2 linked regions of the Drosophila melanogaster genome follow. The protein of the gene in region 1 interacts with the protein of each later gene in a pairwise test. Each region holds a gene or a part of one and is shown on either strand. Other genes may lie near its edges.

Region 1 (8,170 bases):
GACGTGGTGGAGATCCAAACGAAAACACAAACATCTAGAAGCCGTTCCGGAAAAGTATGTGAACGGCAGAAAGGTGGTAGGGAGCTGAGTTCATATTACGAGCTAAGTGAGGAGATTGGTTTCAAAGGTAGGTTTTTATCAATTTCTGAGATCTCTTTCTTGAAATCCAAGTATATCCCAAGTGAAATGCATGCTAAAGCTTGTCGAAAAGATGGATTTCAAAACGGCCACAATTGCCGAAGTGAAAACCATTCGCAGAAGGGTGTTAAGTGCAATATCAAGTCGCCAAAAAAACCTGCAGTGAGCCAGAAGGAGTTTGGTCGCATCTGATATGTATGTCGAAAAATCCGTATTCCTACAAATAGGCAAATTGAATGAAATAAATTGAAAACTCTTTTCAAAATAATGACATTAGCTGTTTAATGATATTTACATATGAGGACAAGAACATTAATTTCAAATTAGGCTTATCGATATGAATCGAATTTCATGCGCAGGCGCATCTAAAATTGATTCACTCTAGCTGTGTGTTTTGGAACAGAATGGGGTCCTTGGAGCCCGAGAAAGTGTGATACAGCTGGCTCCTCCGGACAGCCCTCAGTTTACAATCACTGTCAATGTCAACATCTCGAGCTCGGCAAACGGAAAACCCACTCAAGCATTCGGCATGGACTTGGACGATGTGGCTAGTCATCACGGATTCGGTCAACATATGGCCACGTACAATGTAGAGGTGAGTCCGCCCCCACCCTTCGAGCGAACCAAGTGCGTTGTATGACCGACCCACCCTTACAGACCTCGGCGGTGCACAGGAAACTTCAAAGCAAGGTGGAGGCACTTCGAATCCTGCGCCAGGAGCTGGAACAGTTTCGCGTGGAGCGAGACCAGTACAAGCTGGTGGCGGAGACCCTGCAGCTGCGCTACTCCGCGCTGAAGAGTAATAGCGAACTTCTGGCTGTCGGTGGATGTGGAGCCCTCAGCGAGAACTCCAGCCTGGCAGCCCTGCTCCACGAGACGCGCGAGCAGAACCTAAAGCTCAGCACCGAAGTGGAAGCCCTGAGGCAGCGGCTCAACGAGCTGCATGGCGACATGGAACTACTCCGGGAGACGGAGGCCAGCAACAAGTCGCGGGTACAGGCAATGGCCAGCGAGAATGCCGCTCGCAACAAGGAGGAGCTGCAGTGGCGTCGTGAGCGGGCAAACTTTATCTGCCACCTGGAGGGCCTCAAAAAAAGGAATGCCCAGCTGGCCTTCGACCTGAAGGCGGTGATCGATGAGAAGGAGGAGCTGATAACCGAGCGGGATGCCTACAAGTGCAAGGCACACCGCCTAAATCATGAACTCTTTGTGGCCCTCAGGGCGAAGAAAACGCATCCAAGGGTGAGTTAACTGATGCTATATAGTACTTACTTGATAGTTATTGATTTTCCAGCTCCTGGACATCGATGGTGTTTTGCTGGAGAACAAGTACCTGCATGAACGTGTGAAGATCCAAGACAGCGAACTGGAGCTCACCAAACAGAGCATCAATAAGTACAAGGTACTGGTATTAGTTAAGACTTATTACCATTTTATTTATTTATATTTAAATCATTCAGACAATGTTGGATGCAAAACGAAAGAAGGGAATTGTAAAACTTGGCGGTGGGAGCACAAATGAGGACACCATTCTAAGCCCCCGGCAAGGTGAGTAATTATATGGTGGCCACCTCTTTCATGCCTTTCTAATTTGTTTGTACCCTAGTGAAAACAATCCTCGAGAGTGGCATTGAGCTGCCTCAGAAAACCGAGAGCTTAAGCGATCTAAAATCCTTGTGTCTGGCCCTGCTGGACAATCTCAACGACAAGAACTTGGCCCTGACGCACCAAAAGAAGACCAACAAGTAGGAAAATCCAGCTGAAAGTTGATATATATTTCATAAACCCATATTTCCTGCAGAATACTGGCTGGCAAAATGACGGAGCTGGAGCAGCGGTGGCAACAACTCCTCTCCGGAAACGATGACAACGCAGAGGAGCAGGAGGAGGACGTGGAATATGGTTATGCGCCTTCGCAGCTGCTCCTCAATGGCTATTGTGCCGCCATGGTAGATGACGCCGACATCAGCAGCACTCCGTCCATTGAGCCAGATAACGAAGGCGTCGCCATTACAGCGGATCATGAAGATTCAAAGAAGCACAAGTCCGTTGAGGCTCTGCATTCCGACGATGGAATGTCCTCGCTTTCAACGGAGTCCGTGGATTCGTCTGTGTACGGTGCAGATGTGCAGCCCGATGACTTCCAAAAGTCTTCATCCGCCACAACAGATTCGGGCAACTGTGGATTGAGCAGCCGCTGCAACGGCACGCCACGAATATCCAGTGCAGTGGCACGGGAACGTATGGAGGATCTGAAGGACCTGCCGCCTCACCTGGCCACTCTGGTCCAGAAAGCACTTCACGATCTGGACATGCGGGACTACGAGGCTATGGTGACGATACGAGCAGAGAATCTGGCGGCTATTCCTTAGAGAAAAACTAGTTCAATTGAGGACTCCCAAAGAAATGGATGAAACCATATCTCAGTGTTGACAAAAGATATAATACATATATATATTACCGCAACAGCGTACAATAAAACCAGATTATATAAAATAAATCACTTTATTCAATCGATATTGCGTTGAAACTGGATATGTACAATAACTATAGCATACAGTTTTAAAAGACGCGCCCAAGTTATCGATAAATAATATGCGGAGTGTTGCATACCGTTAGCATAAACACACTCTCACACACTCTTATTTCTGGGTATACATTTTCTGATAAGAATGCAATAAATATCCCGACTGGTTGGAGTAATTTCGAGTTTTTGAATTAAAAATGCCTTAAGAAAAGTTTTTAATGAGCCATGTAGAGTTAACACCAGTGCCACATATCCTGGGAATGGAGCACCAATCAAAAGTCATCATCAAGCGGCCCAAATCAGGCCAATTCTAGTCGGAAAGTCGTTGCAGCCGCCCATTGCCACCATGTCGAATGATGTGCAGGTCGCCCGGGTGGCCAAGATAGCTACCGATGTGCCGCGTCGCAGTGGCAAGCAGCGTGACTCCAGCGGATTCCAGGGCAAGCACTCCGGCAGCGCGGCTGGCGAGGATTTCGAGTACGTCTTCGGTAGCATTTCGCCGCGCGGTGGAGGACCCGGTGGCAGGCACTTGGTGGGATCCTCCGACCTGGACTCTCCGGAGCACACGCAGCGGGACACCACCGAGAGTGACAACAACATATCCAGCTGCTCCACGCTAGACATTGTCAACAAAGTGAGTAATGATGCCCGCACTGAGAGAAATAACTAGATCTTAAATCAAAAAAATCAATATATTAATTTGCAATGATACATTGGTACTAAACATGATCAAGTTCATTTTAAATTAATTTTTAAAATGATCACAAAATATTTAAAAATACCTCATTATTGTGTAGTTTAAAATAAGAAACGCAGAATTTTCAATCATTGGTTTTCAAAGTGTTTCGGGCTTTAAATTCGGTTGGCGTCCAGTGCGCAGATGCGTGTGGAAGGCTGAGGGTCAAGTTGCAGCGGCGGAGAGCGCGGATGCATCCGCGGTCGGATGACGACGTAATCGCCAGTCAAAATTTTCCACTGGACCATGATTTCGGAGCAACTGCTTCCGCGCAGCTTGAGCTGCCTGTGCTGCAGCGATACGCCATCGGTGCCCAACGACAAGAGACGCAGTTGGGAGTATACGCTGATGGCTCATCCTCTGGCCAGACGGCCCATAAACGTGATGACCCCAAGAATAACCACTTAGAAAGCTCTAATCCGCCTCTTTTCTTTTGATTCACCTCCAGGTTGAGCAACTGTCGGTACAACAGCTAGAAAACCGGGTGCGGGATCTAACGCAGCGTCTGCAGCAGGCGGAAAGACAGCTCACTGAGAGCAACACAGAGCGGGAAATATGCCACAAGCGCTTGGAGGTTGTCAGCCAGGCCCACGAGTGTCGCATCACAGAGATGCACTGTGTCATCGCCGAGTTAAGCAAGAAATTGCGCAGTAAGCAGGACCACGTTATCATGGAGGAGCAGGAGCCCGACGGCAGCGGTGCGTAGCAGTTTCAAATGAGGGAAACAAACCCCTAACCGACAGTCTTGTTTTCAGAACTCAGCTTTCAGGAGGGTTCAGTGTACAATTCCGAGCTTAACCTCACCAATCCTGATGCCGAATGTCAAACAGAACCACTGGAAGACTTCGAGGGCGCCTGCAGTACCACCAGCGTGGGTAACGTTGCCCACAAACCGCCGGAACTGAGCCATAAGGGACAAGTGGAGGCACTGCAGGAGGAAGTTCTGCACTTGAGAGCTCGAATCGCCCTCCTCCAGTCCGAGATTTCCACCAAGGATGCTGCTGTGGTCGAGGAACAGACCAAAGTCGCCTTCGACTGCGAATCGGAAGTCAACGAGTGCGGACAGCGACTGAATGATTTGAATGGTAATATAAATAATCCTGATGATAAAAGAATGGTTACACATTTAGATGCTTTCAGTTTGCACTTCCTTGACAAGTCCGCAAAAACGCATTCCAGCGGTACCGAAAATGGCTGAACGGGTTAAGTTGCGGTGCGCCAGCAAACATGAATCCGGAGAAGATCCATCCCAAGATACTTCATTGAGCAACGAGGTGTGTTGACCAAAACTTTATTCAGAGAATACATTTCAACCCATACAACCCATAATTTTAAGCAAATTAATCTGGTCGAACATTTGGTGTCGGAGCTAAAGGAGCAAAATCTATATATGGAGAACTTTATGGAGCCCCTACATTTGAGCAAAGACTTGGAGCGACTGCAACGACGTGTTGAACAATTGGAGATGCGAAACACCATGCTGGCACTGACGCTAGACGAATGCAAGGAGCACACTGAGCATCTGTATCTGCTATGCGGAAAGTACGAGTCCAATGCGGTTGCTCTTCAGTTGGCGCTTAATTGCAGTGATCGCGCCATCGAGGCCTACGACGTAATGTTGGCTCTGCTCGAAAGCAAGTAAGTACAATCACCATAAGACGCGGGTTGTTGTCCCTATTTCACAATTCATCACTTCCAGGTTGGCACTGCTGGGGGAGAAATCAGTGGCAGCGGAAGAGAGTCGACGATCGGTGGAGGCGGTGGCCAGGCACCTGCTAGCCCGTTTGGATAGCGAGAAAAACGTTTGTGAGAACAGCCTGGGACCGTGGCAACACAACATCAACCTGGGCCCAGAGGATGCCCCAAAAACTGGCCGCCCGTGGTGTGCCGACGACGACAACCGCCTGCGTTACCACGTCTCCAAGCTGAAGGGACGTCGTTCCAATGTCCAGCATACCATTGTCAGTTTGGAATCACCCTTCAGCGACATATACGAAAGAAAGCGCCTGGCTTTGGAAAAGGAGCACGAACTTCGGAGCGCGGACAAGAAGTCACCCATTGACTTGGAGACAGCAGTGATTATGCAAGAAATACTCGAGCTGCGGGATTCGAATTTGCAGCTGAAGACAAAAATGGAAGAGGCCGAGCAGGAACGGCAGAACGCCAACGAACGAGTGGGCATACTCCACGAAGCCCTAAAGCAGCTACAGGCAAACAACCGGGTCTCGTATTCGGAGGCGGAGCATGCGGCTCTCACAGAGCAGCAGTTGGTGGAGGCCTTAACTCGAGAAACGGAGCTCAAGGGTCGCATACAGACGCTATTGGCAAATGTAACAGCTTCGCAGAAGGCCTTCGACGAAAAATACGAGCAACTGCATCAGAACGTGCGTGAACTGCAGAAATCCAACCAGTAAGATTCGTTTTATTTTGACTGTTTCATACATAATTTCTTCATATTTCCCTTTTAGCAATCTGGGCCAAATGTTAGATCACACCAAGCGCAAGTACCAGCTGCGGGTGAGGAAGCTAGAGCAGAAGATTGTTGACCTGCGGCTGGACTACGAGCAAGGCCATAACCATGTTCCTGAGACTACTCTGTAGGAAACGCATGACGACCTTCCAGGAGGACTGAGCAACTGGGCGTGGAGCGGGCGCGCTTGTCACATATCCCGCAAAAGATCTTTCCCTCTCGATCATATCGCTTATTTTACCTTTAATGCAATGACCACCCGCCCAGCAGTCGCCGTGGATCCGCCATGACCAAGACAGTATCACGAATGTGCCATGCGACTTAATTGCAGTCGGCTGGGGCTTGGGCGGTGTCCCTGCCTCGCAGATAAGGCTGCAGTAACTACATACTCAAATACATACATATTCAGAGGTGCCATGAGCAAGGCTCCACCAACCTATCCATAGATCCGTGGGATTGGAGCATCCGTCTATGGGCCACAAGCAATTACATATACACACATACGAATAGACAAACTAAGGAGTTATTCAAGACGCATACACGGGATCCTATATTTATACAATGTATTCGCATTTTGCTTGTTATATGATTCAATATGTATTTAAAACTGTACAAAATATAAAACGTCTACTAAAACTCGATAAAATTCACGAATTTGAAATTGGCTCCAATAATTAATCGATAAGCTAATGAAACTAACTTAAGCATCCATCACCATTTCGTGTAGTGTTGCAAATCACCAGAATCAAGTATATGAGTACTTGTGAAATAAAAATGTTTTGAAAATTTAACTTAATTTACTTAAAATGAGTGCCACAGATGCATCTACAGCCGATAGTGGCGCTAAACGAAAATCTTCTGAAGATATCACACACAATTGCAACGCAAATTTTGGCGCAGAAAACGGCCTAAGAAAGCGCGTAAAATCGGAGGAGCCTGTGGCGTCCATTAAAGATGAAACAAATCCTGAAGTTCCTATGAAAATAAAAGCTGAGCCAGTGGAGAATGCAGATGAGCCCACAAGCACTACTCCTGCGATCAAGATTAAAGCCGAACCAGCGGACAATGGAAACTCACCTGCAGCTGCGATGGTAAAAACCGAGCCCACTAATAGCAATGCACAGGACGCCGCCGACGAGTCTACCGTATCTTCAAGCAGTATTAGGACTTCTTGTCGCTTCGGCATACGATGCTACAGGTGATTCACACTAACCAACTCCCATATTACCAACTAAAAATATACCTTTTTCCAATGACAGGCGAAATCCAGCTCATCGTAGTGCAGAAGCTCATCCGGGGGATCAGGATTACCGGCGACCAAACTTTCCAGCGCCACCCCTCGGAACTCCAGCTTGTCCTTTCGGTAACGCATGCTATCGCCGTAACCCAGTTCACTTCCAGGATTACTCCCATCCTGCGGATTGTAAGTAGAAGGCTTGGCATACTTCGGCTTCAAATTGGCTAAAGCCCATTGTAGTCAATTCCGCGCAGAACATTCGAAATCGTCTGCGTCAACGGCGAGCCCAACGGCAGAACGACGATGACTCGGGGACGGATGAGGAGGATGAACCCTTTGGTGGCGACAATGACAGGGATGCGGACTACCGTCCAGGCGCAGACATAAACGAAGATGAGGATGATGAGCTGGAGTTTGATAGCCAACCAATAAGTGGGGATGACTATGATTAGACTATAAATTCAAATTCGCTGTTAACTTAGATGATACGTTCCATTTGCCGAATAATAGGCTTTATATATATATATTATATTCTGTTGATGAAAACTTATGTCTATGGAGTTCCATTAGTAGAAGCCCTCGTCAACTTCATCGGCTGGCTTTTGATCAAAAGTGGCGCCCCATTTTGCAGCCTCTCCGCCGCGAACTTTTACATTGTAGCAAACATTCTCGGCCTTAAGAACGCTCTGCTTCATGGTAGTGATCTTACGCCATAGTTCACGGGCTCTCTGACAGTTTAGACTGATGTAACTGAAAACAATAGGAAGTTAATTGAGTTTCTTAAGGGAGAACTAACCAACCCGCTGTAGAAATGCTGCAGGGCCTTGCAGGTGTCCAAACAGGTGTCTGTATCTCCACTGCCTAGCGAATTTATGCAGCGGCGCATCAGTTCACCAGTAAGATCCGAAAGTCCAAGTATATATTCCGTGGGGTCTACGAAAAACTGGAACTTCTTTGGGCTCTCAACCTGAGCTATAGCCTGAACATCTTCGCCTTCAGTTGGTTCTTCCTTTGGCTGGCTGCTCTCCTCGACGTACTGCATCACCGCCTGAATGGCCTGCC
Region 2 (5,225 bases), on another chromosome or scaffold:
GTCTTTTACAAGAACAAGTCCGTGCACTGCAGCGTTCATGGTCATGCTCATGCCGGCATCACGATGGGTGCAGGAGCAGGCGCCACGACTGGCGCCGGATTAGGAGGCTCTGTGGCAGATAATGAACTGAGCTCCCTGGTTGTCCACCGGAGAGTTTTTGTCGATCGGGATGAAAACCGTCAGGTGGCCACCGTCATGCACTATTCAGAGCTAAGCAACCTGCTCCGTGTGGGCAACATGACGTTCCTGAACGTGGGTCAGTTACTGCCGCATCAGCTGGAGGCCTTCCACACACCCCACTACATCTACCCCATTGGCTACAAGGTGGTAAGTACAAGTACCAGCCGGTCGGCCGCCATGTTTATGAACAGCAATCTTAAATCCCGTTCCTCTTCCTCCCCCATAGAGTCGCTACTACTGGTGCGTGCGACGACCCAATCGTAGGTGTCGATACATTTGCAGTATCGCAGAGGCCGGATGCAAGCCCGAGTTTCGCATCCAGGTGCAGGACGCCGGCGACAAGGAGCCGGAGCGCGAGTTTCGGGGCAGTTCGCCCTCGGCGGTCTGGCAGCAGATTCTGCAGCCAATCACGCGACTGCGTAAGGTGCACAAGTGGTTGCAGCTCTTTCCCCAGCACATCAGTGGTGAGGACCTATTTGGCCTAACGGAACCGGCCATTGTGCGAATCCTGGAAAGCCTCCCGGGCATTGAGACGCTCACTGACTACCGCTTCAAGTACGGTCGCAACCCGCTTCTTGAGTTCCCGCTAGCCATCAATCCGTCTGGAGCGGCGCGTACGGAACCCAAGCAACGACAGCTGCTCGTCTGGAGGAAGCCGCATACGCAACGCACGGCCGGCAGCTGCAGCACGCAGCGGATGGCCAACTCGGCTGCGATTGCCGGAGAAGTGGCCTGCCCGTACAGCAAGCAGTTCGTGCATTCGAAGAGCTCCCAGTACAAAAAGATGAAGCAGGAGTGGCGCAACAACGTCTACTTGGCGAGGTGAGACATTAGGTCCTAGTCAATAACCACTGATTACTTAAGCTCTCATTTTCTAGATCTAAGATCCAGGGTCTTGGCTTGTATGCAGCTCGGGACATTGAAAAGCACACCATGATAATCGAGTACATTGGCGAGGTTATCCGCACCGAGGTCTCCGAGATACGCGAGAAGCAGTACGAGTCCAAGGTGGGTTTCGCGACCATGTTTTCTTGTAACTTTGACTAATCTCTGATTCCCCAGAACCGTGGCATCTACATGTTCCGGCTGGATGAAGACCGCGTGGTGGACGCCACTCTAAGCGGCGGGTTGGCGCGCTACATCAACCATTCGTGCAATCCCAACTGTGTTACCGAGATAGTGGAGGTCGATCGCGACGTGCGGATCATAATATTCGCCAAGCGGAAGATCTATCGCGGCGAGGAGGTGGGTCCCGCAAATAGAAGTGTTTCGCCTGTACCTTAACTCACAATATCTCTTAAATTCTGTGCTTTAGCTCTCGTACGACTACAAGTTCGACATTGAGGACGAGTCGCACAAGATACCGTGCGCCTGTGGAGCGCCCAACTGTCGCAAGTGGATGAACTAGAGTCGGGAGGAGCCTCTAGCGGAGGACCAAAGGAAGCGCAAGAAGCGGCGGCGAGCACGTCGCTCCCAGTGAACAGGAACAGGAGTAGAGACAGGAACAGGAACAGGACTTGTATCTGATCAAGTAGCTAGATTCGCTAAGCATTATAGTTCGTGTACATTTATATATATATATATATATATATATATATATTTATATATATATAGTTTATATGCTATATGCAGATATGCTCGTGGAGAGCATATGACCTTGTAAGTTTTGTATATGTGCCCACTGTAGCCAATTCGTATCCTTTATATCGCTCTTAAGTGCAAAAGTGGAGAGTGTCTTCATAGTTTAAATTGAATAATTGCTATCGTTTCTACATAGAAAGAATATAAATGTTACTGCTAGGACACGACCACCCCTGTAATGTATTTCGGACCCCCTCTCCTCACACAGTCGCTGGAGCACCTAATTTTATTTGTTTTAGCACCATCTCCACATTCATCACTACCACCATTGCAATTATCGCGAGGAAACTGACCGCCCCGATGGCCAACCCAAAACTTGACTTTATGCGTGTGTGCCTTCCCCTCTGTTTACCATTATTATTATTATCATAATTGTAGCGGTTATCTTTCAATATTCGGCCACTTTACATGGGGAGCGATCCTTCTTTCGCTGCGTGTATCGTGCGCAACCTTCTTTGAATATATACACTGATAAGGATATGAACACCTACTTCTATTTTATTTTATTTAAATAGTTTGCGATTACTTTTAAGTACATTAACTAACTCCGAACAACGTGTATTTTTCATCCCCTTAAATAGTAGCTAAGTAAATTTTATGCCACCATTTTACGCACGTGATCTTTTATTCCAACTTATTGCAAACGGCAAACTGGAAATTACGAAATGGGGACGACAGATATTGCACCTAAGATCTTCGCTTGGCCAGCGCCAGAAGCCTCTGGAGCTGGACTGCGGCAGCCAGGGTGAGTATGTCGAAGTTCTTCAGGTACCAGGAGATGTTGTACATGATGTGGATGCGCCAGTTCTTGTCGAGGAACGCTTTGTAGAAGTGGCTCATCTGGTCCGCGGACACTTCGCTGGTTCCGCTTTCCTTGTGCAGGCGGATGAAGTCTTCCTTTTCCTGTAAACGAACCAATTCGAAAGAGACGACATTAGCGGACTAGAAAGAGATGGCACAGTGGTCGTGGTTGTACCTCGTAGAAGCGCTTATTGTGTTTTGTCCAGAAGTCCGTGTTCCATGCCTCCACCTCGATCCGCTTAAGACGCAGGCTTCTTGCCAGCCGCGTCTCCTCATCGCCGTAGTGCCGTACGTACGGACGTAGGTTTGATTGCGCGTCTGGCGGTCCTATATAGTCGCACTTCACCGTCTTGGGATCGGGCTTGTGTGGCAAACCGACGACGGGTTTTTCTTGTGGCGGTGGACATCCCGGCTGCACTGCGGCATAGCACCGCGGTAGCTGTGTAAACAAGAAATTGAAAATCCGAATCCTATAAGGCAACACACTCATGGACTCACGCTGAACTGGAAAAGCGATATCCGGGGCTGGCACCTAAAACATTTGTTCATTTTTCGGTTATGTTATGTGAGGTGCAGTGTGGCCGACTGTCACGCTAGGCAACAGATTAAATATTGATGCCAGCAAATATTACGGGCATTCGCATGCGATTCTCGACTGAATATCTGGAGTTCAGAAACCAGTAGCCAGTAGCCAGCCAGCTGATACATGTCGACAAAATCAAGAAACAGTTTCTTTTTCCAAAATGGTCGCATATTGCATGTTTCCAGTCGCAATTGAACCAATAGGAATGCAGCCTTGTGAACAGTTAGACCAAAGCTTAAGCAAGAGTATCAGAAGAGATGTGAACCCCTCTTGTTTCCCTGTTCGTGACACGCAATCGGCACGTCATGCTCGAGCAAATACCAAAATCCCTAGTAATTTGCTTGCGTTGTGAAAATAAAACGATATACATGCACATCTCTAAAAACAACGTAGAAACAGAGGCTAGTACACTTTCTGTTTATTATGCTCGCCTCATGATTGCAACAAGAAATCTACTGTCGCAATTCGATGCTTCAAAATTATTTCGGTCAAAATGGGCAAGATTATCGACTGTAGACACCAGGCGAACAGAAAACGTTGGAGTACGACCGCTGATCGCTCTGAGAAATTAAACAGCCGTTCATTGTCAGAAGGGGTCAACTCTGGCCAATCAACATTAAGCACTATGGGAAAGAACCGTTCGATTAAGTCCAGTCAACGCCTAGAGATACGTAAACCATTTGTTTCATTGTTCGTGTCACGAATTAGGCACGACATATGCGAATAAGCCAAAATTTCCCATGCTATTCCATTGGTACGTAAAAATAAAACGAGGCACGGGCACATCCCTAAAAACTAAGTGGAAACTTAGCTTTGGACTTTTGCAGTGGATTATGTTCGCCTAGTGTTTTGAGCTAAAAAGTGTTTTCGTAATTACAAAAACGTACGTATGTACTGAATTCCCCTATTAAGTTTTTTTTTTTATATCGTATTTGAACTGAGACCTATCGTTCTCTTCTAACCACCTCTATCGTTTATAGCTATCCCGTGACAATAAATCCAACTGGAAAAAACAAACGGAAAAACTCCGGGGAAAATTCCAGGGAAAATGTCACCCAAAAACAATCATGATCCCTCGTCGTCCGGCGACTCTGGCAACACCAATGTCCAGGAGGCGGACCTCCAAGGTGAGTTTTGACAGCGCCCCGTTTCTGCTCGGGATTGGCTCTAATGGAATGACCCCTACAGAGATGGAGGACGTGAACAACAGTCTGGACGCTCTCAGCTGTGCCCTGGACGCCGTGGAGCAGCGCACAGACGACATTATGTCCCAACTACGGGAGCTGCTGAACTCCAACCGAGAGATCCGTCGCCTGATTGCCGAGGAAAATGACAACGCTCCCGAATCGGGAGATGACAACATGGACGGGCAGGCGGGCAGCGAAGCGGCACCCAAGTAGATCCCTCTACGAGAAGTTATTGTTTTGTTCATCCAAATCGTTTTTAGGCACAATCAGTGCTGTTTTTTTTCTATTATCATGTATTTTTGTCCTAAGTCCTAAGTAAACGTAATTGAAAGCAAGCTTAAGGTTCACTATGTCTTCCGCGCTTTCTTGCGCTTTGTCTTCTCTGTGATTTCAGCCTGGCCATTGGTATCGCTAGTAATATACTTGAAAGCTATCTGGAACAAGCGCATTGACTGCGCTTTGAGGCGCGCATTCTCGGCCTGCAGCTCTTGCACTCTTTCGTCGCTTGTCTGTGCTGAGTCTGGCTGATATTCTGCATACGATTTTTCGGACTCAGCTTCCTTGGAGGCGGTTTCCATTGGCTCGGATTCAGGTTCTTCTTCTTCGACCTCGGAATCCTCGACATCTGTAGCTTTGGTTTCCGCCTCAATTCCTTCGTCGTCCTCGTTCTTTCCCGAACTCATGGACGCTATAAGTTTGAGTATTATCTCCTCATCCGTACCCGGATGACTTTGGGTGTAGTCCAGCTCCGGTGTCTTGCGTCCCCCGGAGTAGTCCGGATCGAAGAGCTCGATACAGTCATTCTCATCCCACGGACTAATCATTCGCTTTAG

What was found.
Region 2: the proteins of CG34404 (region 1) and CG14818 interact in a two-hybrid assay, tested with the Drosophila melanogaster proteins (2 studies listed by BioGRID).

Annotation. Positions count from the first base shown.
Region 1 is NT_033777.3:15,362,276-15,370,445, reverse strand, and holds CG34404 (uncharacterized protein), read left to right. Parts: upstream 1-2,780; 5' UTR 2,781-3,011; coding exon 3,012-3,299; intron 3,300-3,623; exon of another isoform or gene 3,624-3,647; coding exon of another isoform or gene 3,648-3,782; exon of another isoform or gene 3,783-3,849; coding exon 3,850-4,099; intron 4,100-4,156; coding exon 4,157-4,486; intron 4,487-4,541; coding exon 4,542-4,675; intron 4,676-4,737; coding exon 4,738-5,039; intron 5,040-5,100; coding exon 5,101-5,811; intron 5,812-5,869; coding exon 5,870-6,002; 3' UTR 6,003-6,513; downstream 6,514-8,170. Other genes in the region: CG14868 (uncharacterized protein), read left to right, coding at 668-733, 796-1,380, 1,433-1,540, 1,599-1,686, 1,745-1,883, 1,940-2,510; CG6171 (uncharacterized protein), read left to right, coding at 6,678-7,069, 7,131-7,294, 7,349-7,560; Trax (translin associated factor X), read right to left, coding at 7,675-7,858, 7,909-8,170.
Region 2 is NC_004354.4:1,878,519-1,883,743, reverse strand, and holds CG14818 (uncharacterized protein), read left to right. Parts: upstream 1-3,969; 5' UTR 3,970-4,088; intron 4,089-4,163; exon of another isoform or gene 4,164-4,185; 5' UTR 4,186-4,253; coding exon 4,254-4,332; intron 4,333-4,393; coding exon 4,394-4,605; 3' UTR 4,606-4,725; downstream 4,726-5,225. Other genes in the region: trr (trithorax-related), read left to right, coding at 1-327, 407-1,002, 1,059-1,188, 1,243-1,425, 1,496-1,588; Coa8 (cytochrome c oxidase assembly factor 8), read right to left, coding at 2,509-2,724, 2,798-3,061, 3,121-3,171; CG14805 (uncharacterized protein), read right to left, coding at 4,740-5,225.